2 linked regions of the Rhinolophus ferrumequinum genome follow. Each later gene encodes a partner of the first gene's protein in a complex. Links are inferred from orthologs where the notes say so. Each region holds a gene or a part of one and is shown on either strand. Other genes may lie near its edges. The genes, in order: CAPZA2 and S100A1.

Region 1 (16,455 bases):
TTGCTCTACTTGGCTTCTAAAATACTATTAGCTAGGCCTTTCCTCTTCTGGCAAGAGATTAATAGAGTCTGCTCTAAGGAGTCTGACCAAAATAAGATGAAAATCATAAAATGGCCCGATCAGATATTCCTAAAGTAAAACTCAACTGGTTAGTCAAACACTTATAAACATGAGCTGATAACAAATAATAGAAAAAACTCAGCAGTCAAGTGAGGGCTGTTACTTGAAAAGTAGGACAAAAAAAGTAGGACAAAAAAGAAGACATGTAAATATGGGAAATAAAAGATTAAAAGTAAAAAAAATAAAGGAGCGATCCAGGAGGAGTGAACACACAAATACCTGGAGTTACAGAAAGAAAGTACAGAGGGAGGGGAAAAATGAAAATCATCAATGAAATCATTTAAGAAACTTTCTCAGAACTAAAGGAAATGATTTACCAGACTGAAATGGCCCACAGGGCCCAATAAAATAGGTGAAAATAAGCCCACAAAAGTAACTTTACTGTGACATTTCAGAACACTGAGAACAAAGAGAAAGTCACATACAAAAAAAAAAAATCTAAGACAGTGGAACAAAGCCTTCAAAATTCTAAGTGAAAATTAATTCCAGTCTCTAATTCTATACACATCCAAACTATCAATTCAAGCATGAGGGTCAAATAGATGTTTTCAAAATGTACAGTTGCAAAATTTTACTTCTTAGACACCTTTTCTCAGGAAGCTTCTGGACAATATATTTTACAAATACAAGAGCAAATCAAAAAAAGAGGAAGTCGTTGGATGCAGAAAATAGGAGATCTGACACAAAATAGGAGATCTCAGATTCAACACAGAATGCAAAAGCAATCTCCAGAAGAATGAGAAAGGATGAAATGAAATCTATGGACCTGGTAAAGAGGGGAATGTGTCCAGATTGGAGCATAGTGTGCATCGAGAAATAGGACATTTTGAGGGTCATCAAGATAAAAAGCCTACTGCCCTTATACGGTCTTTGTAATCTGAGGGCGAAGCACCTGGCTCAGATCTGTGTCTATACTTGGCTTGTTCTGACCATGTATGGATGAAATCCCTGCTTTCTCCTCCATGCCCAGGGGGCAGCGACCATCTGCTTCAACCATCTGAAAACATTCATCTCACTGCACAGAAGTATGCTGCTTCAGCCTAATTCTGAGAGTGGGAAGTTGGCCATGAGAACCTAGGATGAGAACACACAAAGAAGCCCACCTCCTCCTTAACTCTTTCCTGCCAGATGTCTCAAAGCCAGCCCACATTCTAACACCAACTGTGGTGGCCCGGTATTCCTCGGGACTCACTCGTTTTCCTCTGATAGAGCACTTGTAAATTCACAGAAATGCTGAAGCCAGACTATAACCCAGAGGCAGTTGAGTTAATCTCCGGAAGCTTTCATTATCAGTGGCAGTACTGTCGTGACCTTACACAGTGAAATATATGCTGTAGTGCCAAGGTTCTTGATCACCTCGCGTGTTCATTTACGTGTGAACTGTTGTTGCTAAAATAATAAAATATTTTATTGAAAAAATAAGCAGTATAAAATGATACATACTGAATTTGTGATAGTGTTTACCTTTAGGGAGGGAAGGATAGACAGAAGAGAACGGAAGGAGAGAGGAAGACACAGGGAACCTCAACTGTATATGTAACACTGTATTCACAATCACGTCTAAAGCAAATATGTCACAATGCCAGTTAGTGTTTGATAAAGTTTGGCTGGGAATATGTAGATGTTTCTATATTAATCTCTATTCTTATCTGCATATTTCAAGCATTTTACCGTAAAATGAGATTTATTTAAAAAATTGAATTGAAGGGAGGCTAGAAAAGAGGCTTAAATGTCACTTCCTAAAATTGATCCCCTTTTATAATGAGTCTGTGATTCTATTCTGTTTTCAAGCTAACAAGTTAGCCTGTCAGTTTCATGGATGTTGGCAGAAAACACAAGATGCCTGGCGAAGAGACAAAGGACTTGATTACTCCTGACACAGCAAGCTACAAAAGCATCAGCACATTTGCATTCGTTTCTCTTATCCCCATCTCATACGGCAGCACAGATGGATCCAGATGGAAACCTGCACGTGAAATGGGCTGTATTATGAGTGGAACCTTGAGTTTAAGAAACCAGAAGCTTTTATAATGGGCGGTAAACATGCCTACGCTTTGCTCTGGAGAGAGGCACTATCTGCCAAGGCTGTTTGCTAGGCAAACTCTCTTCAAAAAAATAGTCCAGAACAAAGGGTAGTCAGCTTGCAATACGTGTAGAAATGTGAAAGACTCGTTGAGAATTATCTCCTAACCTGTACACTCAAATCATGCTACACATTTTGTCATTACACTTCTCACAATTGTAATTACATTGTTATTTGAGTGCTTATTTGTTTACTGCATGTTTCTAATCTAAATAATAAGCTCTATGAAGGCAGGGACCCTGACTGTTTTGTTAATTGCTACATCTTAAATGATACGTAGAGAGCTAAAGCATAACAGAAGCACAACAAATGTTTTTGCAGAACTGCTCATGGATTATCAGACTTGAGTACATTAAAGACACAACCAGAAGAAATATGAATGAGGTTACTGATGTCACAAAATATGATTTCCTTTAAAGATACTGTTTTGCATTCATCCAGCATTTTTTATTTTAGAAAGCACCTTTCATATGTTACTTTATGCAAGCTTCACAATAAATCTTTGAATTAGACAAAAAGGTTAAGAGATCATTGGACTTTTTAAGTGAAAAAAAACAGGCTTGTGTATTCTAAATCGACACTCTTATGTTTCAGAAGGCTTTTTTTATCCACACAATTGCAAGATAGGATAATGTCAAAACAAACTGAAGGAAATATCTTTGTAATGTTTCACTTAAATAAAAAGTTAAACATTCGTGGAAATATTTGATATATTCATTACAGTCATCACAGTGAAGATGAATGAATAGAATTCAATGGCACTGCTTTTATATAAAGTGTTACACACTTTATACATTTATGCATCATTTTATCCTCCCAAAACACATAGGTAAATATTACCATTGTTCCCCTTTTAATGGACGATGAAATTGAGGCTTGGAATGATTACACTAATTAGCAGAAACCATACAATTAATTCTCCCAAAAGGTAAAATCCAGAAATGTTAAACCGAAGATGTCTTCTTACAAAAGGAAATTACTTTCCCCAGATGTAGACATCCCTTTCCTCAATGCCATTCAAAACAGTCCGTTATAATATGTCCTGCATTAATCTCTTACTTTGTCCTACTATGCTAAAATTATGAAATTAGGAAACTGTTTCCTAAAATAATCCAATTCATCTAAAAAGCGGTTAGTATATGAACTCAAAGAAGCCATCACATGTACACTTATCTTTAGAATCTAGATTTTCTTTGGAAGTATTAAGATTAAAAATAAAAAAATAATTTAACATTGTAATATGCTTTAAATTCACACTTCAGTCATGAGATAGGCAGCATAGCAGGTTAAGGAATACATAAGAGGAATACAATTTTAAAATCTATTTCTTCGTTTCATCCATTGTTTCAATATGATTTACATCTGTTAAAATAAAAAAGAAGTGGAAAGCAAACTTGAAAATTCCCTGAGCAGACAAAATCAGTTAAGTCATACAAACAAAGCTCAATTTAGCTTATTTTGAAAAGCTAATTTGGCCTGGGTCATTTCTTACTTACTTATTATGCTTCTGGAAATCATAAGCAAAACTTGAAATGTTTCCACAAATTGATATCATTTAAGAAACTTCTAATATTCTAACCAGTCTCTGTGAAGAATAAACAGTCACTGCTTTCTCACTATATGAGCTACTTTATAACAATACAGCCCTGAGCCTCATCCCATATTTGGTTTGAGAGCCCCCTGTTTGCAAACTGTCTTTTTGATGTGTGTACAATAAACTTGTATTAATTACTACTTCAGTAATTCATTGGTTTTACTTCTATTATTTCTGAACTTTTGACACATCCTATCTCATATGTATAGAGAACGCATTTCTCGTTTGTGCCATTTATTTTGTACTTATCATATACTGCTTGGAGGGGTACCTTTTTATGTATTGAATTCTAGCCTTGCACAACCAGAATGTGAGTTACCTTAGGACACAGGTGGTGTCCTGTAGTCTGAAATTCTCTGTCTTCCATGTCTGCTTTGCACAGTGTCAAGTACAATCTGGGTACATCCCTGGCTTTGCTCTCTCTATTCACCTCCACATATAACGACACCTGCCAAATTAGCCCCCACACCATTGCCCTGGCTAGTCCTACTGAAGGAAGAGTAGATTAACGTCCCTCCAAATCAACATTCTGAGGCTTATCCTAAAGGCTCCTTCAACCCTAGCGGGGTTCTCCCAGTTTGATTGCTGGCCCCCTGACCCCCAGTCTGAAGCACCAGAATGCACTCATGTGCAAAACCCACCTTCTGTTCTATGGCTGTTCTCGTGCTCCTACACTGGTAACTTTTCATGCCTCAGTCACTCCCAGAAAAGGGGGAAAAGGCAAGTTGAGATTGGCCTTCTCCCTCTGGGGAAATCTGGAATGTACATTACATCTCAGAGTTGTTCTGACCTGAGGCTAGCTGGCTGAGGTTGTGTACCCCAGCAGCCTTGGTTAAGAGCTATTCCACGGGACCTAAACTCCCAGCTCTGTGCTTGCTGACAAAGCCACCTCAGTAGCCAAGAGCAGTCAGTCCTTCCCCAAATAATTGTAGGTTCTCTGAAGTGGAGGCAAAAAGCCCTGAAGCACAGAAAGGGTCCCAGTGATCCAAGGGATCTGGTCAGAGCATTCACAGTATCTGCTACAGCTCTGTTCATCAGAAGCCGCTCACAGGAGAAAACAGAAGTTGAGTACCCCACCACCCAGGCTGGGACAATGGCCAGGCATTGCCCAGCACCTACATGCAATGGATGGAGCTAAAGTCACAGAAGAAGAAGGTGAGGTGATGTGAGCACTGAGCCATCTGTCCCGTGAAGGGAGCATCAGGAAAGATGTTAAAGCGACAAACCTGGGAGAGGTCTGATGAGAGAGGGAGCAGCAGAGGTGCTGAAAGCCTTTATAAAAGGACAAAAGATGGCAGTGTAAACACGTGCAGGTGAATCACTGTGGCACCCCCAAAGAATCCAGAGGAAGGAATTGGGGCAGGATCTCTTGCAATTCGTTAGATTAGACCTGAGTTAGAGAAACACAATATTATTGTAGGTTGGTATGGCTGGGGAAAACATAAATGACAAACTTCTTTTTCTACTATACTGCTAATACTGAATCCAAATAAGAATTCAAAGTATTACCAGACACTAAGGTTAAAAAAAATTTAAAGATGTTGAATTTATCTTTTCACTCATGTAGGGAGACTTTTTAAAGTGAGAAAATACTCTAATATTCTTTATTCATGTTATTTTCCAGACTTTTTACAAGAAATCATAATAATTCATTCCATAAATACTTTTTGAATGAGGTACCATATTAAATGGATAAAAAAGATGAAAAACAAACAATTTTGTGTTGGGAAAAAATCAATATGGATGGGAATGATTCAGGTTAGTGGTTACCTGTGGGAAGATGGAAAGGGAATGGGAGCTAGAACGGGTAAAGCAAGTTTATTTTGTTTATTTGTTTTTGTTTTGTGTATCTGATATATGATGTAATAATAGTTCAGATAAGTTAATGGAAATACGTAGAAGGTTTAGAATTTCCTTGCCTCACTCTAAAGGCATACACCTTGGGCACTCCCCATGGGCATTCAACACGTCCTATAATTCATTTGGGACATGGCATGACAATGCTGAAGACTTGAACTTACATTTGACAGAAATTAAGGAGCAGGAAATCGATTAGAGAGATATATAAGGGGTGACTGAATGTAGAATAGGAGTATTACTATGATTTGGGTTTTTCTGGGGAAAGTGTTTCTTTTCCTGTTCTGGACACCCAGAGCCACATTTTTAGGGCAATCTCTACACCCCATGTGGGTAGGTGGCTAGCTCAATTTTTCAGCTCCCATTTAGGGACATAAAATGAAAAAGTCATTCAATCAGTCTGCATTCCCACAAAACTTTTGTAAGCACTTATGAGCCAGACTCTGCATTTATCAAACAGCTAATTAAGACATAGCCATGTTGTGAAGGGGCAGACTGGTACGACATTATAATACGACAATAGCTAGTAACATTTATTGAGACTTTTGCTACGGCTGGATGCTAAGTACTTAAAATGTCTCATTAATTCTACACAACAGCCATATGAGGGAGGGATCATTATTATCTCCAGTGCATAGACGAAGAAACCGAGGAGTCCAGAGCAAGTTGTCCAAGTTAACTGGCGCTGGAACCAAGACCAGAATCCAGGACTTCCTGATTATAAAATCTGTACACCTCACCATTTGAGTACACAGCAAAATTCCACGGAAAACTTTCTATGGGAATCTAGAAGAAGAAATTACTAGCTTCAGCTAGAGGACTCAATGCAGATTTCATGGGAAAAGGGATAACTGAAGTGAATTTTAAAGGGTAGGTAGCAAAGAATGTTTCAGATAGGGCTTCATCAGAGGCACGAGAAACTGTGATGCCTGAGTAAGTAGCTTTTTGTGCTTCCATAATGTGTGCATTCAGAGCTGCGGCAGAGCTGGGTTTGTTGAGGTTGGGAAGAATCAAATTATGAAGGACAGCATGTTCAGGAGAGGGGAGGAATTGAAAACAAGCTTCTTCAATAATTCCTTGGTAGCTCTAGAGTGATCCATGTCAGGCTTCCAGGGCTACCATTTGCGTGGACCTTTTCAAATCTAGTTAAGGAAATGGACTACAGGTAGGGCACACTTAACTACAAGTAACCAATAGTTTAGGCAATTATTTGATTTAGAAAGACAACTACTTTTTAAATATACGTGATTGCTGATACTTTTCTACTGCCATAAAGAAGATTACTTGAGACCCGTTATGTTCATTGAACATGAATGTCATGTAGGGAGTCATGCAGGGTCTCTGGTCCCGCTCCCCACATAAGAACGCAGGATATGGTGAGGCCAAAAAGGAACACCCACGGAGCCATAGGTAGGGGAGTCATACCACTATAGTCTCACTGCTGGCTGGGTTGAAGACACAGAAGCAGGAGCCACACTATCCTCAACCTGCCGTCTACTTGTCTCTGCCAACCAACCTCACCTGCTAACTGCAATCCGCCTCTGCCATCTGCAACCCACACTCCGATGTGCTAACTGCAATCCGCGTTTGCCAGCCCCCATCTTCTTGCTAGCCCCCATTTTCTGCTAGCGTAGCCACAGCAGTTATATTAGCGGCCAATGGCTCACTGGTTACAGCTGACGGCCAACTAGCCACAGCTGATGGCCTCCAATCACAGTTGATGGCCATTTACTACTTCTGAGCCAGTACCTTTCCACTGTAGATGTGAGGCCAAGAGCCTGGAAACTGCACTCCTGGCTCTGTCCCCACAATGAAACAGTAACAAACAACAAAATATTCGTTGTCTAACACTGGTAGTTTTCTTCAGAAGTAAGGTAAGTCACAGGTTTAAACTACAGATACTAGTTTTTCAATACAGAGATTAAATAATATGTTATTATTATGAAGTCTACATTTGGTACAACCATTTAGTGGTCAGTCACTAATTTGAATATCATCTCATTGTACATTATATGATTGAGATATATATGTTATATTATATGTATGTGTGTGTATAGTATATCATATAAAGGATAGAACATGAACATGACCATCAGGACATTGGTTCTCAAATAACATCATGTAGATGTGCAATTTTTATCAAGTCATTTAATTTATCTAAAGCTCAACTTATCTGCCAAATGAGACTCTTGCACTAGATTGACTGCAAGATTGTAATTCTATGAAATTAGGTAACCTCTGACCTTGACAAGCTTAAAATATAAGTGAGGACATGTAGCACATCCACAGGAAAGTAGATTTAAAAGCATACAAATAACTTAAAAACTAACACTGCAAAAGGAAAAACTTAAAAAAAATAGGTTCTGGTGCAGTTAAGTAGAAGGTGAGTTTAGAAATTAAATGAGAAAGGAGTAGAAATTCTCACATAATAGGGAGAATTGTGTATGGGAGGAATATTTTGCTTCTTTTGGTTATGAAATAACTGTATATCAAGAATACCTGGGCAGCGGGTTGATTCAGTGGTTGGTACACAGTGCTCATAACAGGAAGGTCGCAGGTTCAATTCCCACATGGGCCAGTGAGCTTCGCCCTCCACAACTAGATTGAAAACAACGGCTTGACATGGAGCTGATGGGTCCTGGAAAAACACACTGTTCCCCAATTTAAAAAAGAATACCAGTACCACATTTCTACTTGCATTCATGTAATGGTCAGTCCATATTTATACCTATTTTGCATGGTGCCTTAGAAATCTTCCCAGAATTCCTAGTTTTACATGATTTCAGTTATTCCTTGCAACTATATCAAGAGGGTGGTATTGGGACTGACCAAGGGTGGTATTGGGAGAGTGGTTTTGGGACTTTTTTGAAAGGATTATCAGAAATTTTACCTAATTGCTGATTGTGTCACATGGGAAACCACATGTAAAGTATCACTAAGGCTACGATTACAAACATAGTCTGATTCAAATTATTGCAAAACATTACCAGATTTGAGTGCTGTTTTTAAAGGAAGAGGGCAGCCAATTAATCACGCAACAACAGTTTCTGAGTACCCTCTGTATACAAATTATTGATATTAGGTGTTGCTGAGTAAACGGAAACCAAAAAGCAGAAGGAGAAGAAAAAAGGAAGTACTGTTGATGCCGTATGTGATGGTGAATAGAATCGGTGGGATGGGAGATAAGTGCTTTCATTAAGTTTTATTTGATGGAGAGCACCTGGAATTTAGAGAGAAAAAAGATCTCAAAAGGGAAAGAACATGGGATCTAGAATAAGATGCCTGGGTTCCAATCCTAACTCAGGCACTTTGGTGCCGTGCAAAATTGGATAAATATTGAACCTTAGTTTTGTCTCCTGTAAAATGGGTATAATAATGCTGATTAAATACCTTACTTCATAACTTACTTGCAGTGAGAAATCAATGAAGCAATGATTTGTAAACTGTAAAAGAATAAAAATGCTGTTGATTTACATCCAGTGAGGTCCTTGACCAAACTGTGTGGTTCATTCTCCGCACCATTTATCCTCAATAGAACACCCGCTTTTTTCTGCATGTTTCAGCAAGCTTCCCATTAGTTCTCTCCCTAAATGGACTATCTTTTCAACAGCATGGTTTCTGTTCACTTTCCATCCACAAGAAACAATGATTTGCACATTATGAACCCTTAGTAAATTACTTATTAATAGCGTTTTGCATGTGAACTCTCTAAGGTATTCTCTTGTGTCATTTATATGTAGCTGTCAGATTCATCTTTCTAGACATATTTCTGATGATGTTATATCACTGTGCAAAAGTTGTCAACTTTCTACTGAATAAAGTCTTTTTAATACATATTTTTATCGACAAAGAACATTGCATTCGTTTTAGGTATAGAACATAATGGCTAGTCTTAACTCCTGTCTAAACTCTAAGGTCTTGCTGCTCAGGATGGTGTCCAGGCCAACAGCATTGGCATTACCTGGGAGCTTGTTAGGAATGCAGATTCTCCAGCCCACCTTCCACCCGCTGCCTCAGCAAGTGCATCTTAACAAGATTCCTAGCCAGTTAAGCTTTGACTACATCATCACTTTCTTGCTAAACTTTAAGCTTCAGAAGTAGGGTTGCCAGATTTAGCAAAGAAAAATACTGATGCCCAATAAAATTTGAAAACATTTTTTTAATATATCTCAAATGCTTCATGGGACATATTTATACTTAAAATATATATTCATTGTTTATCTGAAATTCAAATTTTACTGGGTTTTCTGTATTTTATCTGGCAACCCGATTCTCAAGAGTAGGATCCATGTCTAAAACATAACTTTGTATTCCTCTGCAATAGTACGGTGCCTTCCCTAACTGTTCAGAGTAGGTTTGAAAACAGGTTTCTCTGGTTTTTGCTTAACATTGTGCAAGTGTATATGCATAGAGACTAATACAGTACCCGACACACCATAAAGGACCAATAAATGTTTCTTGAATGAATGAATGAATGAATATATCAAGAGCAATCTTTCAATTATGGACTGGGTTGTCTGCATATTTTAAGGAAAGCTAAGTGTTTTTCTAGCAATTTTTTTTAAAAAACAAAATGTTTAAAAAGCTTCTATTCGTACACTTTTCACATTTTAGCTGGCAGAGTTCAGGCCTTAATGGGAACATAATCAAGGGCTCAGGATGTACTTGTTGCAGACTGGGTCCATATGGTCACTGGTGGGAAAGAATCCCACACCCAGCACGCTGACAAGCTTGCAGCAGGCGGCGGTTGGCGACTCCTCCCTCTCCCGAGCCCCTCGAGGCTCTGCGCACGCGCCCCGCACTCCGGCCCCGCGGGCCGGGGAAAGGAGGCGGGGCTCCCTGGGCGCGTGCGCGGTGGGCTGGGCTCCTGGCCCCTCCCTGGCTGGGGCGCGCGCGGCGCGGAGGACCGCACAGAAAGGGGGAAGTCAGGTGGCTGCCGCCGCCGCCGCGGTTTGTCGCCAGAAGGAAAATGGCGGATTTGGAGGAGCAGTTGTCTGATGAGGAGAAGGTAAGAGCTGCGGGGGCGGCGGAGCCGGTCGGCCCGGGAGCCAGCGGGGCCCTGGTGTATAAGCCCGGAGGCTGGCCGCCGGCGAAGGGCATTGGTCTGTGCCCTCGGCTGCCTTTGCCCCCCTCTCCTCGCTGCGCCCAAGTGCCTGCCCCTGTCAGTCACCCGAGGCCCGCGCGGGGGCAGGTCTCCGCCTGGCCTGCTCGCTCCACTCCTTGTAGGGTGTGTGCTCTGAAAATAGGAAGCGGGAGCCGGGCGGCGGCGCCTGGCGCGACGGCCGGGCAGGCGGGCGGGGTCGCGCGGGGCAGCGGCGCGGGGACCCTCGCCCTGGGCCTGGGCAGCGGCCCCTGCGCCAGGTTGGGGGCTGTAAAGGGGTCTGCGGGCCGGCCTGCGAGCTTCCCAAGGGCACTGCCCAGCCTGACGGCCTGGCTGAATAGTGTAGCCGGGGTGAAGGGTAAGAGGCAAAAATCGCTTAGGAAGCAGACCTCGAGTTCTCCCTTCTAATCCCTCCGCCCAGTAGCAAAATGCTTCCCTTCCTGGTTCGCGACGCTTTTTTTCCTTTCCCGGTGGCAGTCTGCCTCTCTCTGATTTTTTTTCCTTTTCTTATTTCGTCTTTAGCTGTAGGCTTTGCAGCTTCCGTATTCCCTAGGAGGCCGGGGAGTTGCTCACCAGAAGACCCCTCCCCAGTAGTTTCCTGCCCAGGCTGGCAGCAGCCCTCGGGGGCTGGTTTGGTGGCGCCTCTGCGTCCTGCTAGGAATTCTGTCGAAGAGGGGAGATTGTGCAACTCCTTTTACTGTATCTTAAATGATGCGGCAGCCTTGGAACCAGATGAACGACTTAAGTTCTCAGGCATTTAACATAAGAAATCTGATCATTGAACTAGTTCTCTCTTATTTGCCGTTTCCTTTGGCGACTGTGAGGCCCCGTTCCCCAGTGAGGTGGGGTGGGGACCCTACTGATTTTGAGTATTTCCTGGAAAGGACCTTGAGGTTTCTCAAATTCAGAAGTAACTGACATAAATAAGATGGTTGTTGCAGTTTTTGAAGTGTCCACTCTTAATTTAACATTGTGGTTTTTTTTAAGTTCCAAAGCAGTACAGCCATGTAGGAAACACAGACGTGGTGTTTTAAGAAATCCTAATCCAAGCCTAAGGATACTTTTCAGTTCGAACTCTTCACTCCAAGTGTTTTTACATCCTGTGTTCTAACACGGAAATGTAATGTTCCATCTCCTTATGTCGGTGCTGAGGTCAGCCTCATCTTTACTGTTGGAAATCTTTTTTCTCTGTGCTTTTTGGTGAAAGTTATAATAAAACAACAAAATGAGGACCGCAACAAGATTCTCCATAACCCAGGGACCCGGTAGGCAGAGAGGTCCCTGTATACACAAAGTTGCTGTGCAGTTTTCACATGTGTATCATTGGTAAATCACTATATGTTGATAACTGAAAATGTATGCTCTTGTACACACACACACATTTAAAATTAAGTAGTGCTGAAAAGTTTGTTAAAAAGATTGTCATGTTTTTATTCCACCGTTCTTAAGTGGTTGGATGTAGCTCAAGTCGCTAGAAATCGCGATGAAGAGAGTACCCAGTGTGGAAGCTAATACAGACCAGCCAGGTGTTGGGAAGGCCTAAAATAGTGATGAGGTGACAACACTCCGTATTACCCCACACTCTCTGTGCCACACTCTCTGTGCGCTAAGCTCCATACAGGGGGGGGGGTGTCTAATTCTCTAAGCTTGCCCAGCGCAATGTTCTAAGAGGAAATGAATGAAAATTCTAATTTGAAGGAATTCGTTTTTGTTTTTGTTTTGAGTTTTGTAACACTATTCTATAGATATTTTGCATATAGATTTCATAGCTATATTTACTAATCTAAGAAAAATACTGACTAAACTTTTGAGTTAAATTCTAATATTGTCACTTTAGAAATATTCTTGTAATCTTTTGGGAGGAAGATGTTTGGTATGGAATCAGAGGATTTAAAGGTGATATTTTTAAGCTAATATTTAAATTGTGTTGCTCTTTCTGCCACATTGTAATTTTCAAAAATACGCTTTTAAGACTTTTAAGCTCTTGGAATTTCCATTATTGATTGCAGATGTAAGGAAATGAATCTGTTAATATTTATGTAGTACCATACTTTGCATGTATCTGGCTCAGTTAGACAATACGTTCATTTTTATAAATTTGTTAATTTGAGGTAGGTTATATTACCATTTCACAGATGAGTAAAATAAGGTTTCAGATTCACCCAAGGATACCTAAGTAGGAAGTTGCAAAGGTGATATTTAAACCTGAGTTTGTCTGAATCCAAAGTTGTTGCTCTTGTGACATTTTGCTCCTTTAAACGACCAATACGACCTCTTCTGGGTTAATCTGTTTTTAATTTGTTGACAGCTTATTTCGAAAAAGGACAAACTATGGTTCTTTCTGTTTTTAATTAAAAAATTGTAAATACTAAACATCAAATAGTGTTGTGTTCTAAATTTGTGTTTTGGTTTTAGAACAAAGTTTATTATTGTTCAATACATTTAAAAATATACTACTGGTATAGTTTCACATATGCCCTATGGTAGGAAGCATTTTAGAAATTAATCTAGAATTATGTCTTTGCTTTTTTAAGTCATATGCAATTGTTTTTTGAGGATATCACTATGAATTTAATAATCTTTTTACCTTTGGCCACTGGGTTAATAAGAATTAAGTTATCCGAAGAAGAACAATGATGTTCTTTAAGTTACTCTTATGCTGTAGTGTGTCCCACAGACTTTTACAGAGAAACTGGGCCAAAAAACAATCACGTTTTCCATTCCTGGGTTAGCTGTATCTTACAGTAAAGCATTTTTGTGAATTTGAAATTATATGATATTGTGGCATAAGGCTGGAGAAGAACCACTCCCAAACCCCTCTCTAGGGGAGAAAAATCTAGGAAGTCACTCCAAGCTCCAGAAGAAGACAATTGTTGGTTAGAAGGGATCTTTTTTTTTTTTCTGTAAATCCTCCCACCTTCCCCCCGGTGATTAAAGTAATCCATCCCATAGCCTCGGCTGTTATCTTTGTTGGTGTGTCTCAAGTACATAGTTCAGCCCTAACTTCTTTCCTGAGCACTGGTCACACATTTTTTTCTGCTAGTCCTGTCACAATGAGGTATCTTCAAATGGAACTTGCCTAAAACTAAATTCATAAATTCCCCTCTCCTTCCCTCTACACAAAGAGGGGCAGAAATCTATCTCCTCCAGCTCATCTTTCTCTTTATATCTGTTCCCATTGTTCCAGTCATCCAAGTTTTTAACTTCAGCTTTATTCTAACTTTTTTTTCCTTGTGCTCTGTACCTTGCAGATTCTAAACCTTGTCACTTCCATCATCAAAATGTATCTTATGCAAATAATTTATTTCTTGCTTGAAAAGTTAATTCGTTTATATTAATAATTGGTTTCTTACCTCTCAGTTAACACAACTATTAACTGTTATTTGTATTATTAACTACTGTTGTTTAGTAATAAAATTTTACTGTACGAACAGTTTTGTTGAGGAAGAAATAAAGACAAGGCCTCGAGGAAAAGTAGGGTTAGAAGATTTTCTCATATCTAGTCTTTCCCTTCTGTTATTTTTGCCACCGCTAGGCTTTTATTATAGACTTTCTAGACTCATCCTTCTAATTTCCTGTATCTAAGCCATGTTTTAATATGTTTTTCTGTTCTCAAACTTTTAGTTGCTGGATCCTCCATTGCCTTTACAATGAAGCCCAACTCCTGAAAATGGTGTTCATGGCCTTATATTCCATTATAACCTAAATAGTTCCAGCATTTCCAGTATATACTGTTATTTATTTAATCATGCTGTGAATTCAGAGACTTGCTTGTTAGTCCATGTCTAGCACCTCGGGTAAATTATTTAATTTCTCAGCCTTAGTTTCCTATGATATACTGGGGATATAACAGGAAGTATCTTCTCCATTGAGTTGCTATAAGTATAAATGGTGCCTGGCATGTAGTAAACACACAGTAAGTGGTAGTTATTTTACTCTGCTCATGACTTAACCACTTTGACTGTTGATACTGCTCCTGGTCTGTCCCCTTTTTTGAAAGATGAAAGTCATGCTCATCTCAAGGGTTAGCTCAGATCGCATGGCTAGTTTAATCTCTTCTGAATGCTATAACATAGTACTGGTATTAAATACAGTTTTCAATAATAGTTACTTGTCATTTCCCCCCATTCAGTTGGGGTTCCTAAGTGCAGAAATAATGTCTATAGCATCTGTCATGCTGCACATGATGGGTAGAATGGTTCAGTGAAAGAATGAACAAGGAATCATGAATTCAGAAAATTACAGAGAAAACATTAGAGTTTTATGAAAAGTAGAAGTAGCATATAAAGCCAAATTTTGCAGGATAAATTTGTTGTGCCTAAATTTTTTAATTTCTAAATAGCGCTATAGATTTTAAAGATTCAAACAGTCAGATGGAACTCCTGGTGCTCTCTGGGTTACAGGTGATGATACTGGATATGGTGCAAATCATGTCCACATGCTGAATATTCTTTATAGCCGTTTATACGCTTTTCCCTCACTACACAACCATAATTTGGCTTCAGCAATTTTGATTGTATGTAAAAACAATGTAGGCTGTTATTTTCCATCATAATTAATGTAAACTCAGTAGTGTTCTTATTAACCAAAAAGTAAACTCAAACAGTGAGCTATAAATGTAGAAAATGTTCATTCCTAGTTATATTCTGTAGGTGAATGAATTCCATCATTGCACCAATAAAGTGTAAAAATTCCTACAGCAAGCAGAAACTTGATAGCTGCTATAACATTAGTGGGGATTTCAGACTTTGCACATTAAAGCGAATTTGTGGTGTTTTCAGTGCATTTGGGAGCCATTTCTGCGTAAAATAAGGACAGCTATACACATAAAGCATTGCATTTTAGTGTAATAACACAGGATATAAGAACACTTAGAGCAGAGTACAAAGTGATTTTTAGGTGAAAAGCATGATGGGAAAAATTGACTTAAAGTTTTGTGCTCTGACCCAAAAGCCTAATTGCCTGAAGCAGTAATTTATTGTAAGAGATTCATGCATGTCAAAGAAAATAGGGGCTCCATAGAAACACCTACAGTTGTCAAAAAAGGAGAATTTCACAAGTTTTATTTTAAGATTGGATGTACAATTTCTACATTCTTTCACTTACTGCATTTATTTACATGTTCCATTATGAATCTAATGGTTGCGAACTTCTTGGATATTTTAGTTCTATTTAGTTTCTGTTGACAATGAATGGAAATAATGTTTGAAAACTGTGTCCACATTCATTTATTTATCAATATACCATATTTCATTGATTTCAATGCTCATAATTTCCCATCGTTTAAGATCTTTGACATCAGACTGCATTATACAATCAGTGGCTTATGATATTTCATTGGTACCAGTTTTCCTTTTTTCAGGGTTACCTAAAATTATGCATCTTACGTTGATTATGAATCAGGGTAAGCAAACATATAATGCATTAAAAAACAACCTAAAATCTTAGCATGAGAGTGGTGGGGGCTTTGTAGGACATCTCGTCACTCATTCCGTATATGTCTAGTGTGGGCCAGCAGCAGAAGTCATGTAGTTTCAGGCTGTTGGAGGACTTCAGTCTGAACTTAGCCCGTTTTCTACAGCCCCCATAGCAGTGGGAAGGAAATGCAGTGAATAGCACGCTGGTTTTAAAGCTCCCGGCTCCCCATACACACACACACACACACACACACAATCACACACAATCACCGCACTTCTGCTC
Region 2 (15,686 bases), on another chromosome or scaffold:
AATTGGCTCCCAGACCACTTATTTAAAAAAAAAAAAAAAAAAAAAACCTTGAAGAAATAAGAAAACATACTTTGTTTTTTCAGAGAGAGAGAAAGGCTCAAGAGTGTAAAGATGTCAATTTTCCCTAAAATAAATTTGCATGATCCCAATTAACAATCTACAGGATTCTTTTTAACATGATTAAATGTTACTAACATTCTTTGTGAAAAATTAACATGTGAAATCCACCAGTGAAATTCTGAAAAGTAAGAATAATGAGAAAGAAACAACCCTACAAGTATTAAAGCATATTATGAAACAATGGTAAATGAGGTTGTTACTAAATAAACAATAAACAGATGAATGAAACAGAATAAAGAGACCCAAAATACACATGGGAATTGAATAAATACTCAAGGTGGTATTTCACATCAGTAGGAAAATTTTAACAATGAAATCAATTCTGGGTTTCTTTGGTTTTGTTTTTTTTAATATGTTAAATTGAGCAAGACCTTTCTAAGCATGGCATAAAACACAGAAGCCATTCAGGAAAAGTTTGGTAATTTGACTACATAAAATTTTTTTATATTCTGTGTGGTAAAAACTACCAAAAAACAAAGTCAAAGGACAAAGGCAAATTAGGGGAAAATATTTGCAACACACATAATAGACAAAAGCTAATTTCTTTATTCTATAAAGAGCTATAATAAATCAATATGAAAAAGAAAAACTCTTTGATAAAAGAAATAAACAAGCAGTTCACAGAGAAAGCAATATACATGTCCATCAAAAATATTTTTTAGGGCAGCCAGTTGGCTCAGTTGGTTAGACCACTGTGCTCATAACACCAAGGTCGCTGGTTCGATTCCCACATGGGCCACTGTGAGCTGCACCCTTCACAACTAGATTGAAAATAACTTGATTTGGAGCTGATGGGTCCTGGAAAAACACACTGTTCCCCAATATTCCCCAATAAATAAATAAATAAATATATATATATATATATATATATATATATATATATATGCTCTATTTCACTAAGAACTAGCATAACTCAGAAAAAGTATCATTTTAACATATTAGATTGGCAAGAATTAAAAGCTTGATAAGACCCAGTTTGGGCAAGGACGTGGGAAAACAGATATTCACATGCACTGTTGGTGGCCATAAAATGTGGTACAACCCTGTTGGGAGGCAAATTAGTAACATTTATAAAATTAAAAATATACACGCCTTTTGAGGCAGTATTTCATCTCTCAGGCATTTAACCTATGTAGATAGCTTCCCTCAAGTTTGTAAAGATATGTAAACAAGGATGTTTGCAAAAGGGGGAAAATGGGCATAAGAGAAAACTCCGTCAATAGAGGGTAGGCTACATAAATGTGTGTTAACCTATCTTGGAATACAGTGCTTCATTTTTTTTTTTTAATGGGAAAATATCCTATATGCTCTGTAAGGGGGAGCAGAGTCGGCCACCTCAAAATGTGCCTTTTTAGGGATATTGATTATTTTAAGCTGGTTATTTTTAAGAAACAAAAGACCGAGGAAAAACCTTTGACTATTCCCCTACATGCCTCAAAGATTTTAGATGGAGGTCCTGCTCCAGGAAGGGAGCTGTCATCATAGATAACTATAGTTTAATATGAATTAGTGTGTGGTAGACAGGGAGGAACCAAGCAAGGCCCATTGGGTAAAATTCCTCTGTGTCCCATGGTTAGAGATGGCCCAGCAAACATTTATTTACCAAACATTTACTTTTCTAGCTCCATGTTAACTGCTTTCCTTCCCACTGAAGTCCCAAACTGCAACCCCCACTTTCTCTTCAGCTCAAGATGGCACCTGAGCTTTACTGCCCGATTTGTCCTTGGGCCCCATAATCTTATGGAACCCCCCGTATGTACATACGTAACTAAATCTGGTCATTTTTCTCCTGTTAATCTGTCTCATGTCAATGTGATTATTAGAACAACCAAAAGAACTAAGAGAGGGAAATGGGAAATTTTCCCCTCCCAACAACTGTTACATTTTTAAAAAACTATTTATAGAACAGTAGGCAAAATGCATTTATTTATTCATTCTCTCACTCAACAATTTATGCTTTTCTTAAAACTTTTTTACTCTCTCACTCACTCTTCAATATTTTATTGAGCACCTATTAGGAGTCAGACACTGCTCTAAGTAGAGGTAAAAGAGTGATCAGACTCCTTTCCTCACAGGAGTTACATTCTTGGTAACATATACGTATATAGTGGAGGTCAAGTTGTGATTGAGGTGTTCTGAAAGAAAATAAAGTAAGGTAAAGGAATAGAGCACAGGGAGGTGATATTTGTATTCAGTAGTGAAGGCCATGCAAAGGATTTGCCATTTGAGCAAAAAGTTGAGTTACATGAGGAATAAGCCTAGCAAATACCTAGACGAGGGGCAGGGGTGAGCATTCTGGACCCGGAGAGGAAAAGTGGAGACAGTCAGTATAAATAACTCCTATGCTTTTGAGAAGTTTTGCTACAAAAGGGAAGCAGAGATATAAGGCATAGCTGGAGGGAGTTACAGGGTCAAGGGAGTTTTTCTTTTTTTTTCTTTTCTTTTTCTCCTTGTTTTTTTTTTTAAAGATGGGAGATATTACAGCATATTTGGAAACTGACCAGAACAATCCAGTACAAAGGGAAATTTTGATGATGCAAGAGAGGGGGGAAGAACTAAAAGGGTTAAAGTCTTTAAGTAGGTGAGAAGGGATGAGATCCAGGGCACCAGTGAAGGGTATGGCCTTGGGAGCAGACAGGGATGAAAGGCAGGGTATGTGTTGGTGGATCTGGGTGAAGGAGCACATAGAAGCTTCCTGATTACTCTTACTTCCTTCTCAGTGAGAGGGATGTGGAAAGAGGTACTAGAGTTTGAGGAGAAAGGAAAAGTTGTGAAATAATCATCTGAAAGAGCTGGTAAATGAATCGACCAGGGAAATGTAGAATTGGCAGACATCGCTGAGGGGTTTGTGATTATAGATTTAAAGTGCGACAAATGAACACGGCGGTGCCTTATTCTCCAGCCAGATTCAGCTCTAGAAGTGGAGGTACAGAATGGTGCATTCAACCAACAAGTTACTGGAGGTGAAATGTTGGCTTTAAGCTGGGTTGGGATTGTGCCAAAAGACAAGGACAGAAAGAAACAGAATCAAGGGAGTTGTGGGAGTGGTTATAATGAATGATGAGCCTTAGAACCCAGGTAAGTAAGAGGTGAAATGAGAACACAAGACATAAAGATAGAAGATGGAAAAAATAATAGGGAGTCAAGAAAATGCTGGAGTGGAGGAGCTAGAAACAGGTGAGGGAAGCAGAGTTGGCACCCCAAAATATGCCTTTTGGGATGGATATTGAGTACTCTAAGCTGGTTATTTTCAAGAAACGAGACTCAGGAAAAACCTTTGGCCTTCCCTCTACCTGCCTAGAAGAATTTAGACAGAGGACCTGCTTCAGGAAGGGAGCTGTCATCACAGATAACCATAGCTTAATATGAACTAGTGTGTGATAGCGAAAAAATGAGCAAGGCCCATTGGGTAAAAGTCCCCTCTGTGTCCCATGTGAAAGCTGGCCCAGCAGACATTCATTTGCTCTTCCATCTCTGTGGGAACGGCCTTCCTGCCCTTTTAGGTTCCAAACCACTCCCACCACCTTCGCCTTAGCTCCAGAATGGTATGTAAGCCTCAACCGCCCAGTGTCCTTGGGACCCATCTTCTTATGGAACCCCTGTGTGTACATACTTAATAAGTGTGGGTATTTTCTCCTGTCAATCCGTCTCTCGTCAATTTGATTATTATTCCAGCCTGAACTTAGAAAGGTAGGAGGAAAATTCATTTTTACCTTTTCACTCCCCTACAGAGGAACAGAACTGGAATGACATGGAAGACAGAGAAAAGGAAGTTAGAAATTGAGATCTTGGAAGAGGTGCGTTATTTTGGTAATACCAAGATCTGAAGCATGAGCAGAGGAGTGGAATCCTGAGATGCAGGGCGACAATCTTTGGAAGTGATGAGCTCAAGAAATTGAAAGGCCCAGGTGTTGGCTGAGCTGTCTCTGTGGAATGCTGAGGATAATGACAGCAGCAGTGATGAGAAGGAAAACAGTTAGCCAGGAACTGAAGAGCTATAAGGAAGGCAGGTGGTACCTGAGCTTCCAAGGAGCTGGGCATCTTAGGAAGAAGAAAAAAACTAAGATCCGGAAGCAGCACTGAAACGCAGAGGTCACTTCCTGCATTTCAACACACAGAGGAAGATAAACCAGCCACTATATTTTAATATTACTATTAGTTTCAGGTGTACAAAACAATGAAATAGTTAGACATTTGCACCCCTTACAAAGTGATAACCCCCCAATTTACTATCTGTCTGCCATCGTATACAGCTGTTACAATTCCATCGACTATTCCCTCTGCTGTACCCCACATCCCGTGACTATACATACATATATATGTTTAATTATAGTTGACATTCAATATTATTCAAAACCAGTCACTATTTGGCAAGGCTACTGGGAGTGCTGTACCTCCAGGAGAGAGCCTGGCGTTTCCTGTGAGGAGAGGATGGGAAAAGTCAGGGAAGCCTAAGGAGGAGGGGATTTTGCTGATGAAAGACTATGAGTTTCAAAAAAAAAAAAAAAAACTGTGAGTTTCAGAGACACTTGTTTTTTGTTTTTAAACCCATCTTCACACACTTTTATGTGCCTGTGAATTTTCAGGAAGGATGTAAAAGAAACTGTTAGCCGCCTGGGATGATGCCCAACCCAAAGTGGATAAAATTTAAATCCCTACTCCGTCCCCTGAGGAGAGACGGGGGGACCCAGCCAGGCGCATTGAGGGGATTCCCAGAGAGGGTGGGAAGTAACCACGGATCACTTACAGGTCCCTCCCACCCTGAGATCCTGACTCCATAAATGTGGCTCTGTTTTTATTTTTAACAAATCCCTTCCCACAGCGGGGCCTCAGTTTCCTTATGTGTGAAATGAGGAATGTGGATATGTTTTCTCTCGGCCTCCGTCTAGCTCTGACGGTCCGGGAAGCCAGCTCTGGGTCCAGTCCTCTGTGAGGCAAATGAGATCAGAGAGGCACAGCGCAGACACAGGAACCCTGCAGCATTATCTGATGCAGCACAAAGCCCCATAACACTTCCCCTCACACGGACACTGTTACCGAGACGCACACACACACACTTGGCAAGAACGCCCAGAACCACTTACACATGCAGCCACCCACACCTTTCTCCACAACACATCTGTGGTCACATTATCGTGCCCAGCAATATCACGTCACGTACACAATGTCCCACAGCCACTGTCTCCTAAAATCTCGGGCCCAGAGGCCCCCACCTACCTTGAGCAGGTGAGGCAACTGTTGAGTGGCCAGTTCCTTAAACTCATTGATGCTGAGGCTGCCTTTACGGCCCTCCCGTCCTGCAAAGGTGAAGAAGGTGGTGACCACTGTCTCGATGGCCGTCTCCAGCTCAGTCAGTGGCTCTGCTGCCATTAGGGTGGAGCTGATGTCCTCACGGGCTGACTGGTGGGAGGGAGAGGGGAGGAGAGAAAGGGAGACTCAGGACAGGCCAGAGTGCCCCTGCCCTGGGTTGCTATCTCTGGCTTCTGCCTGGAGAAGGCAGAGGCTTTATGGAGAAGGAACAAGCGGACAGGGATGAAGCTTGGGGCAGGGAGTACCTCAGTGCAGGTGACGGAAGGAGTGTTCATTCCAGAAACCCCTTCCTCTCTAGATCTCACAATCTAGGGGTCCTTTTGAAATGCCTATGTCTTAGGGACCCCTCTGTGATGGTCCCTCAGTCTGGAGACCCCTCTGTCCGGGAGGAGGTTTTCAATCTGAGGGTCCCGTTAGGAAGCCTCTCAGTCTCCTGGCCCCTCTGTAGGGTTCAGCCACAGGGCCCTTGCTTGGAATCTCACCGAGCCTCAAAAGGTCAGGAGGTTGTTTGTCTCCAAAGCTTGTTTGTGTGGGGACCTGGGTCTCCACCCGCCTGCTCCTCCCAGGAGAGCAGCCCTGGTCTGGCAAAGGCCCAGCCGTGGTCAAGGCTGGCTCTGTCTGACAGATCCAGCCTCCCGGTGGTCCTTCTCCGCTTCCCTCCCCGCAGGGCCGGTGCTGAGCCCAGGATCCTGCAGACCTCCCGCCCCTGTCTCCCCGAGCCAGGGGTCCTGGTTGGGCCTTGCTGACAGCCGGCACTCGGCACCCAGAAAGGGCTTGGTCCCGGCACACACAGCCCCAGGGGACAGGCTGGAGGAAAGGGACATGCCAACTCATCCTCCGTTTTCTGCCTCCCCCCACCACACCCCCACCTTACTCCCCCGGGGACTGCGGTCTGATCTCCCCAAGCTACTTTCTGAATCCCAGTCTGAGCTGGCTCCAGGGGCGGGACCTGGGAGTCCAGGGAGGAAAAGGGCTCCCCGGGTTCCCCCCAGAATTAGGGGGACACGACTCACCAGGGGAAGTCACAGAGACGGGGTGCAACACGAGGTTGCCGCGGGGCTGAGGTTTATAAGCGCTGGGCGGAGAGGCCAGGGCCCCTCCCAAGCTCGGAGGTTTCAAGTTTCCTGGTTGATTGTGGAGGGAGGAGACGTCCAATCACGCCTGGCGCCCCCCTCCCGCCCAGCTCCCAGCGCCCAGAAACCCGCCTGGGACCCCAGCCCCTCAGCCCAGCCCACAGGTGCCCCCACTTGGTCGGGAGGTGAGGGTGGGGATCTGCCTGAAGCTGCCAGATTCCACTCAGCCAGGGCCGAGGGTCCTATCCCCCCCAATATGGGGAGCCTCTGCCCCACCACACCCCAACATGTAATCAGGAGTGTGTATGTTGGGAGCGGGGGTGGGGGAGCGGGGGTGGGGGGGAGGGGGGCCCTGCGGGAGGTGACTGCAGATTGATTGAAAGAACCAACTGCAGGAGCTCACTCAGGACTGAGAAGCCCAAGCTAAGAAACACCACATCGCTGAACGAGATCTCTCAAAGGACCCTGAAGCCCAAGACCCCTTCAGAGGATCCCAAACCAAGACCCCGCAAATACGGGAATCAGACCGAGACCCCTGTTGACATAGAAATTTCCAAACCTGTAGAGCATTTTTATGAGTTTAACTGAACCAAACTGATGACAATCACCTGGAGGAGGCAAAATCTCAACGGATTGAGAAAATGTTCCCGAGAATGGCTTTTTTGCAGCTGATTTCATACATTAGAATCCAAGGAGGAGACGGAGGGGGTTACATGGAATCCATGGGCAGTAGATTAGGGAGCCGGGAGAAGGCAAAGGGGGCGGGGACCTCTGGGATTGGATAAAAAGTAAAAGGGAGAGACACACAGTTCTTTCACATTGTGGGTGCAGGATAGTTAGTAACATTTACAGCACATGGAGATGGCATGTGTGTGTGTGTGTGGGAAGGACAAGGTAACAGTGAAGGGTTCTATGGTCTGTGCTCTCTGTAGGAGGTTGTGCCCTGGGGGTATGGAAAAGGAGATTACTCTGACATTTTAAAGTAATGTCAGTAACTATGTTATCTTAGATACAAAAAGGAAATAGTCAGGCTCCCTTAAGGTAAAGATTAACCTCTATCAAGAAAGCTACAGGCCTAGGATGGGACTACCTGCCATGACAAGCTTTTAGTTAGGAATTTTGATGTTCCGACCATCCTGTGTGGTTACTCCCTGTCTCTGAGTTTGTACAGCCTGCCATGCAGCCTCCCCTGAGCGTGTCGGGTTCAGTCTGTGGCCCCTTTTTTATCTACCTCCCCATCGAGGGTACCCTGGATTGAAATCCCTCAGTGGGGTCTCACACTGAAACTTCGGAGGGTGACTCCCAAGATCGAATTATTCACGGAGAGCTCCCAGCGGCCTCCAGCCCTCCCTGCCTAGCTGGCCACAACCGGGTACTGCGGGGGTAAGGGGTGTCTCAGTGCCCTTCCCAGGACCTTTCCCACCTCCCTTCCTCCAGGGCCTGCCTGTTGGGGCCCAGCAGTAGGGGGGAGGCAACCGAGGCTGGAGAAGAGGACACAGGGCAGCTTGTTCCAGCCCAGGAGACAGAGGGCGCCTCTGTCCACTCCTGGCCCCTTGCCCCACTGGGTGTCTATCTGTGAAGGGGTGGAGCCAGTGGGGAGGGGGGTCAGCGGGGGAAGGACGGCTGAAGACAGGTCTCCACACACAGCTCTGGGAGCCACATTTGCAGCCTCGTCTGTCTGTCCAGAACCTGCTCCCACCTCAGGCCCAGGCTGACAGTGAGTATGCCACCCCATCCTGCCCTGGCCAGCCTGGGGGAAAAGGGACTTCAGCGGGGCTCCAAGAATCTGGGGACGATGGCATTGTGGTATACTGAGGGTTGGGATGAGTTCGAGTGACAGCAGTATGGGATTTGGGGGAGACAGGGTTTAGAAAGTGGTGAGGGGAGACAAGTGAAGGTCAAAGAGAGATCTAGAAACTCAGAGAATGAGGAAGCCAATGAGGAGCCCAGCCACCAAGCTTCCAGATCAGGCTCTCCTACCACGAAGCCCTCCAGTGCCCTCTCAAGCCTCCCTCAATCTCCCAGGAGCTGGGGAGGGGTCCCAGCGCTTGGCTCACTTCCGGTGGGATAAGCTGGAGAGGACAAATGGAGCAGCTGCTCTGCCTCCCCCACCCAGCCTTGCCAAGAGCTCAGGGCCCAGGGACGTCTGGTAGAGCATGGGCCATGTGACATCAGGAAGAGGGGCACTCGGGTGTGGTACCCACTCCCAACTCTCCCTTTCTCCTCCTCCCCTTTCTTGGCCCAGACCTCCAGACTCCTCTTTTCCTCTTTCTTTCCTCTTTGTTTTCCCACCCGCCCCCTCCCTGCCGAGGTCCTCTCAGGATTGCCCCCACATGAAATGCTTGGCTGCTGGCGAGCTCCAGGCAACCCCCAGGTGCCCGTCCTGGATGGGGCCGGTAACTGAGCCACCAGGCCCCTCCCTCTCAGGCCCCTTATCCCCTCCATCAGCCCCGGCTTGGGTTCCATCTCCCCCATGTCTCTGTGACAACCACGTCTCATGTCCGGAGTTCAGGTGACACTCACAAGGGCCCCATTGAAGAGCTGGGATGTCATCTGATCAGGGCCCATTGTCCAGCCCCTCAGGCCTAGGGAAGGATGGGGACACCTGATCTAAGACACCTGAGCTGCCCCCTGAGGCCGTGGTCGGGCTGAATGTCCCAAGACAGAGAGAAAGAGGCCCCCTGGCTTGGCAGTCCCCTCTCCTCAACAGACCCCTCCATTTTTCTCCCCCTGTCTCCCAGCCCCTTGAACTCAGAGGACCTAATGCACTCGGCCCTTTATCTCCCCCAATACATACCAACCCCGTTCTCCCTGCTGCCACTGTCCCCACTCCAACCAGACTGGGCCTGGAGGGTGGGAGTAGCTACTAGCAGTGACAAGTCCTCATGGGTCTCCTCTTCCCCTCCCTAGAAGCTCTGGCTCCAGGGAAAAGTCTCAGACATTCCTGTCCCTTCCCACCACCACCCCATGGAAGGGCTAACTCTGTGGAAAAGTAAGAGGAACCAAGCTAGAGACATACCCCCGGGAAGTGCCATGCTCAGGAGAGAACAGAGTTGAGGGACCAAAAGATGCCCCATCTGCTGACAGGAAGCTCAGAGGCAATGAGACTTCCTTCCCACGACCCTTGGGCCGCCCACTCAGGCTGCCACCCTCTCCATCAGGCTGACCAAGGGCACCAGACTGACTCCTTGCCAGGAGTGGGCAACAGAGTCAAGTCTGTAGACAGGAGCCCAGCCCACCACCTCCAACCGCAGAGCTTGGCTATGCTAGGCAGGCAAGGTTCAGGGTAAAAATAGAGCCAGAGGAAGCCTGGCTGGGTCCTGTGACCACCCCTGCCTGCCTGCCTGCCTGCCACACCCTCGTCAGTATCTGTGCAGCCAGCCAGGAGACACTGCAGGGTCCACGCAGGCCTCTAGAGCCAGCCCTGCTCCAGCTGTTCCCCCTCCATGCCCCAAACTCTGACTCCCTCTGGCGGGGGTTTGGATGGAGGGACACACAGAACAGGTCTGGACTTAGATCTGTTTGGGTTCCCCTACATTTTAGGGTCCCACTGAGAGGTACATTGTGATGGAGCTCCAATCTCATGGCTATTTGGGCTGTGGGACCAGGACCAGGCCTGAGGGCTCCCTTCACCCCAACCCCAGATATCCTGAGCATGGTCCCCTGCTCACTTCCATGGTGGGGGGTGCATAGGTGAGCTTCGAGATGGGGTCTGAGCTGGAGACGGCGATGGAAACTCTCATCAACGTGTTCCACACCCACTCGGGCAAGGAAGGGGACAAGTATAAGCTGAGCAAGAAGGAGCTGAAAGAGCTGCTGCAGACGGAGCTCTCCGGCTTCCTGGATGTGAGTACAGGGTGGGGGGATTGGGTGGAGCGGGCAAGGGCTGGGGGGCACCGGGGGCCCCTCCCTGCCCTTTCCCCAGCTCACCCCAGCTCAGCCCAACCATCTCCTTCCCGTCCCAGGCTTCTCTCCTGGGTTTTTCCAGGCTCCCCTACTCCTGGTTCAAGCCAAAATGCCCCGAGTTAGTGATCATCTGTCAAGGACCAGGACCTGCGTAGATACAGCCATAACAAGGCTCACAGTCTGGAAAGGGAAGATTGACCCTTGAAAGTAAATTTTGGACACCAGGAAGCACACAGAGCCTTAACAGAGGTGCCAGGAAGGATTCTGGGAGAACATTAACCTGACTGAAGTGGGATGGCTTCTCCACAGAGGCGACACTTGAGCCATAGGTTTCCAATGGAAGATGCTTAGGATGAAAGTAGACATTTTGGGTGGAGGCGTTTGCGTGAATAAAAGCACGGCAGAAAGAAGAGTATGGAGCACACTCAGTAGTTTCGACTGCAGGGAAGGATGCAGAAAAACAGGCTGAAGGAGAAGCCTTCAGCTTCTGAGGTTTTATTAGACCTGGGCTCAAGCTTGGGCGCAGCCACGCTCACTCTAGCTGTGTGACTTTGGACACATTATTTAACCACCAACTGTCTCTTTGTTTCTTCTCTAGAACGGGAATAATGCAACCTACTTCATGCTATTTGTGTTAGAATTAAACGAGACAGTGCTTATAAAGCTCCTAGTGTAGCGCTTGTCCATTGTAGGCGCTCAACATATGATAAATGGGTGTTTCTAACTCTGCCTCGTTGAGGGGCTTACTGTATAGGCAGCAGGAGGCCGCAGTGTTTGTCAGTTTCGAGGAAGGCAGCAGAAGAGTCCCCTAATTAGATGTAGCACTCCCTCTTGCTCAGCTCTGCCTCCTGCTCCCCAATCAATCACCCCCCCCTTGGCTCTAACTGGGCGCCATCCATCTCCATACACCTCCCCGTCCATCTCCCTTCACAGGCCCAGAAGGATGCAGATGCGGTGGATAAGGTGATGAAGGAGCTGGATGAGAACGGAGACGGGGAGGTCGACTTCCAGGAGTACGTGGTGCTGGTGGCTGCCCTCACGGTGGCCTGTAACAACTTCTTCTGGGAGAACAGCTGAGCAGACAGCCCCAGTGGGCAGCGCCCTTCCCCTCTACCCTGCCACCCCTGCCCGTGTACTCTGCTTCCCCCTCACCCCGCGCCCCGCTCCCCACAGTCCCACCCTTGCCTACCCTCCAACAAGGGCGCAAGAGTCGTGGGCCAGGCCTGCAACTCTTTCATTAAAGGCTCCTCTCTCGCCAGTCTGTTGTCCTTCCTTTGGGCTCCGGAACGGGGGTGTGATCCCTCCCCATCTGCCTTATTCGGGGTTGGCTCTTATTTGGAGAGAGGTCAAAGGACCATTACATCTTCCTACTGGAGGAATATTCAAGGCCCGGGAAGGCAGGGGTTCAAGATACCAGCTGCAAGTGCAGGAGACATTAGCTCCGCAGCTGCAAAGCCAGACAAAGAATTTCCCTTCAACCTTCAAAGCCTATTTCGAGGATCTGCCATGTGCCAGATATGGAGTAGGCACCGGGGATACAACGGTGAACAAACCAAACAGACCCTTGTCCTCACGTCCCGTGAGGACGCCAGACCATTAAACACGCGCACATACTGGAGGGGAAACGAAAGAACCCTGATGGGGGCGCACGGGGTGGAGGAAGGGCTGATGATGTATTCGTTCATTCATTCTTCAGCCATTTTCGCCTTTTATTGTGTACGCAAGCATTAGAAAAGTCCCATGTATGTCTTCATCAACATCCACATGGATGGCAGAGGGGGAGGGACAACGTGGGAGGGGCAACAGGCACGCAAAGGTTGTCACCAAATAAGGCTTTAACAAGTCCCAGGTAGAACATTTTGGACGGTCTGCCTTAGACTGGGGGTCGGGCAGGCGCGCGAGGAAACACGAGCATGTGTTGCCTCCGCACCGAACGCGCTCGGAGCGGCCCTCAAGGTTACCGGCAACCGCGTCTGGAACGTAAAGCCCCGCAGGACCCCACTGCGCGGCCGTTGGCCACGCCCCTTCGTGGGCAGAGCACCGCGGGCTCTGGAAGGGGCGACGGCTAAAGCCCCGCCTTCTCCCTAAGGCTCCTCCCCGACCCCCGCGCAGGCGTAACCCAAATCTCCCCGCCCACTAGCTGTGCGTGGGCCTGTCGCCTGACGTAATTGCGTCGACGCCATTTTAGCCGGGCCCACTCCGCACTGGGCGTGGCGGCCATTTTGTTTGGACTCGGAGCGGGAGTTGGCGGCAGCGGCTTGCGGTGGCACAGCCGGAAGGCAGGGCAGGGCAGGCCGGGCGCGCAGGCGGACCACCGAGCAGACAGCCGGCCGACAATAACGAACTAACCTAGCAACCTACCGCTTACGCATCTAACCAACCGCCCACCAAGCGAACCCGAGCCCCTCCGCCGTCAACTCAGGTTCGGCCGGCCCCCGGCCCGCCTGCCGCAGCCGTGGTGGCAGCCCCGGGAGGAGCACTGGCGTCCTTTTCCTGCGGTACGTCGCTGCGGTGAGAAGGAGGGGAAGGTCTCGGGGAGCGGAGCGGAGCGGAAGGGGCCGGCGGACGCGAACCGGGTGGGAGGTGGGAGCAGGTGGGGTGCTGGCGTGGGGAGGCCCCGGGGAGGGGGCGGAGCCGCGGGGAGGCACGCGGGGGCGGGCCTGAGCTGGAACCTCGTGGCGGGATCGCTGGAAAAGAAAGGTTGGGGTTTGGTAGCGCTGAGAAGCAAAACGGTTTGGCCGGTTGAGCAAAGTTGGCCGTCTTGCCAGGGCTTTGAGCTGGTGGGGAGAGGAAAAAAGGAGAAACGCAGGACTTGGGGGATCGTGGGAAAGGAGCGGCGGCTTCAGGGTTAAATCTTGTAGCGCGCTCTCTGGGAGCTAAGTCCCGGGTGAATGCCCAATTAGGAAACCTTCCCTGCGCCCTCTGGCAGGTCCCCAGCCCCTTGCTAAGGCCCCTACTTGATTTTGATATTAGGTATGCCCGTTATCGTTTCTCTAGATCAATGGTTCCCGATTTTGGCTGCACAGGAGAAGCACGTAGGTAGCCTTTTTTTTTCCGCTTCCAATTTGTGACCCACAGACCTCACCACTAGAGATTGTGGTTCAATTGGTTTGGGCCCAGGATTCTAAATGTTTCTAAAAGCTCCTTGCAGCCAAGGTTGAGAAGGACCACGCGAGATGAAGAGCCAAACTCTTCCACTTCCTTTAGCTAGGTCTGCCATTTTGGAGGCTTTGGCTGATACTTGCTGTCCTGTGGAGTCTTTGAGGGTGGTGGTTTGAGGTCGTTTACAAATTTAAGCCCCTGGAAGGCGTTGGAGTGTGCTCTTAAATAGCTGTTGATACAGGCCTTTTTCAGGCGCTGTTGCTTTGGGCCTTTGGCCTTTGCAGAAGTGAGGTCGTTGGTATTGCGATGTGCTCATTCTGCCTATTGTCCTTTGTAGATTACCGGGATTTGAAGATGGCTGCACCGTCAGCGCCGAAAGTTGTGCTAAAAAGCACCACCAAGATGTCTCTAAATGAGCGGTGAGGCAGCCAACAGCAACTTCAGCTCGTTCATAAGAAAACATTACTTAAATTGGCCCTGGGGTCCAATGCACAAAAGCCGGTTTTTAAACTAAATACCAACAGAAGGCTACAGACCTCTGTTCTTAGTTGCATCTTATGTGGTACACAAAGCAAATTGGGCGGTTGTTTCAAAACCCCTTATCAGTAGATTTTTATATTAAGCTGTCTGAAATATTTGTCTGGTGGGATGTATTTTAAAAAGACTCCTCACACCCTCCCTTTTCTTCACATTTTTAACGTTGACACAGGGATGGTGCAGCTCAGTAGCACGGTACCCAGGCTGCAGCCTGCAGCCAGCTTGCTGCCCCGTCCAAGGCCAGCAGTGTTGTGTCTGGCCTGTAAGAGGCAGGTAGCAAGCCGTGAATATGTCCAAAGGCCCTTGAACGCCATTCTTGGGTCTTGTAAGAGGCACTTGCTTTTGCTCCATTTCACCTTCTTTGCATTCTGCTTTGAGTTTGTTTTGTTTTGGATTCTTTTACAGTTAAGTGTTTTCTCTTCCATGCCATTAAACTTACCCTTACAGGAATAATAGAAGAGTGTCTTCACGAGCTCTTAAACAATTGACCAAATCTAACTTTTCAGAAGTAAACACTTGAAATTAGAAAAAGTAATCGTTTGAGACTAAGAAAATGAAGGTATTAAAAGGCAGCTTCTGTCTCTGAGAGCTTTGTTTGTTGAGTGCCTTTGACCAGTGATGTGTTAAGTTGATATTCGACCACAAAAAGATTTACTTAAATGTTTATGTTTTCCTTTTCTGAAGCATATGTGCTTGGCCTTCTCTCCTGGGGAATGATACACTAATTCTGCACGTTCACATGTTACCGAGTGAACAAACAGGAGAATGTGGTGTGCTCATGCGATTTACGAGCGCCGTATTCCCGTGGGCTTCCGAGGTGCTCCTGGCCTGTGTATTGGCCCTTAAAATGCACCCTCAGGTCTCCCAGGGTTTTGGCTTTCTTCGTTTGTCTTTGAAACTCCATCTTGTGTCTCATGTTGTCATCATATCTGCTTATTGCGTGTTTTTCATACCTTCCACCTCTCCCAGCCGTCACCTGAGCCCTCGTTATCACTTGATTGAATGTGCTGCACTTAGCTGCAGTTCTCAGTTTCTGATTCTTGCAAGTTTGTGGAAGCAGAGGAGTCTTTAACCCACATCAGCCTTGATCTAAGTACCACTTTACTTAAAAGTTCGTGGGATCTGGAGCTCCTGGTCTAGCAAGCCATGAAAATGCCAATAAATGTTTTGTAATAAAGCTTTTATTTAAACATCCATTTTGTTCGACCTTGAAGCTTTACTAATATGCTGAAGAACAAACAGCCGATGCCAGTGAATATTCGGGCTTCGATGCAGCAACAGCAGCAGCTAGCCAGTGCCAGAAACAGAAGACTGGCCCAGCAGATGGAGAATAGACCCTCTGTCCAGGCAGCATTAAAACTTAAGCAGGTGAGAGGATGGGTCATACCACTCCAGAAGCAGCTGGTGATCTCTGGCAGGCAGTTCCCTGAGCCTGTCAGGACCTGATGGATGGTTCCAAGGTGGCTCAGGGCAAAAGCTGAAACTTCTCTGGGGGAGAGAAGTTCAGAGAACTCCCATTTGGCAGGTACCAATGAGTAACTTTTTGTTGTCTTTCTCTTTTAGGGGGTTTGCCATCAGTGTGGCCTGTTTCTATGTTATCAATGAGTGTTAATCTCTTGTTTTTCTGATCCTTCGCCC

The links.
Region 2: the proteins of CAPZA2 (region 1) and S100A1 are in contact, whole or in part, in an NMR structure (PDB 2KBM), measured with the Rattus norvegicus proteins. The link is inferred for Rhinolophus ferrumequinum from reciprocal best matches to the Homo sapiens genes CAPZA2 and S100A1. Residues at the interface, in NP_001009180.1 of Rattus norvegicus: Thr267, Lys268, Ile269, Asp270, Trp271, Asn272, Lys273, Ile274, Leu275, Ser276; in NP_001007637.1 of Rattus norvegicus: Ser44, Phe45, Leu46, Asp47, Lys50, Asp51, Ala54, Lys57, Ile58, Glu61, Leu78, Ala81, Leu82, Thr83, Ala85, Cys86.

The regions. Positions count from the first base shown.
Region 1 is NC_046309.1:26,070,305-26,086,759, reverse strand, and holds the start of CAPZA2 (F-actin-capping protein subunit alpha-2), read left to right. Parts: upstream 1-10,518; 5' UTR 10,519-10,623; coding exon 10,624-10,662; intron 10,663-16,455. UniProt on the Homo sapiens protein: F-actin-capping proteins bind in a Ca(2+)-independent manner to the fast growing ends of actin filaments (barbed end) thereby blocking the exchange of subunits at these ends.
Region 2 is NC_046305.1:52,553,305-52,568,990, forward strand, and holds S100A1 (protein S100-A1), read left to right. Parts: upstream 1-8,070; 5' UTR 8,071-8,220; intron 8,221-10,185; exon of another isoform or gene 10,186-10,196; 5' UTR 10,197-10,208; coding exon 10,209-10,349; intron 10,350-11,342; coding exon 11,343-11,486; 3' UTR 11,487-11,667; downstream 11,668-15,686. Other genes in the region: S100A13 (protein S100-A13), read right to left, coding at 5,338-5,520, 5,676-5,705; CHTOP (chromatin target of PRMT1 protein), read left to right, coding at 13,866-13,930, 15,263-15,416. UniProt on the Homo sapiens protein: Small calcium binding protein that plays important roles in several biological processes such as Ca(2+) homeostasis, chondrocyte biology and cardiomyocyte regulation.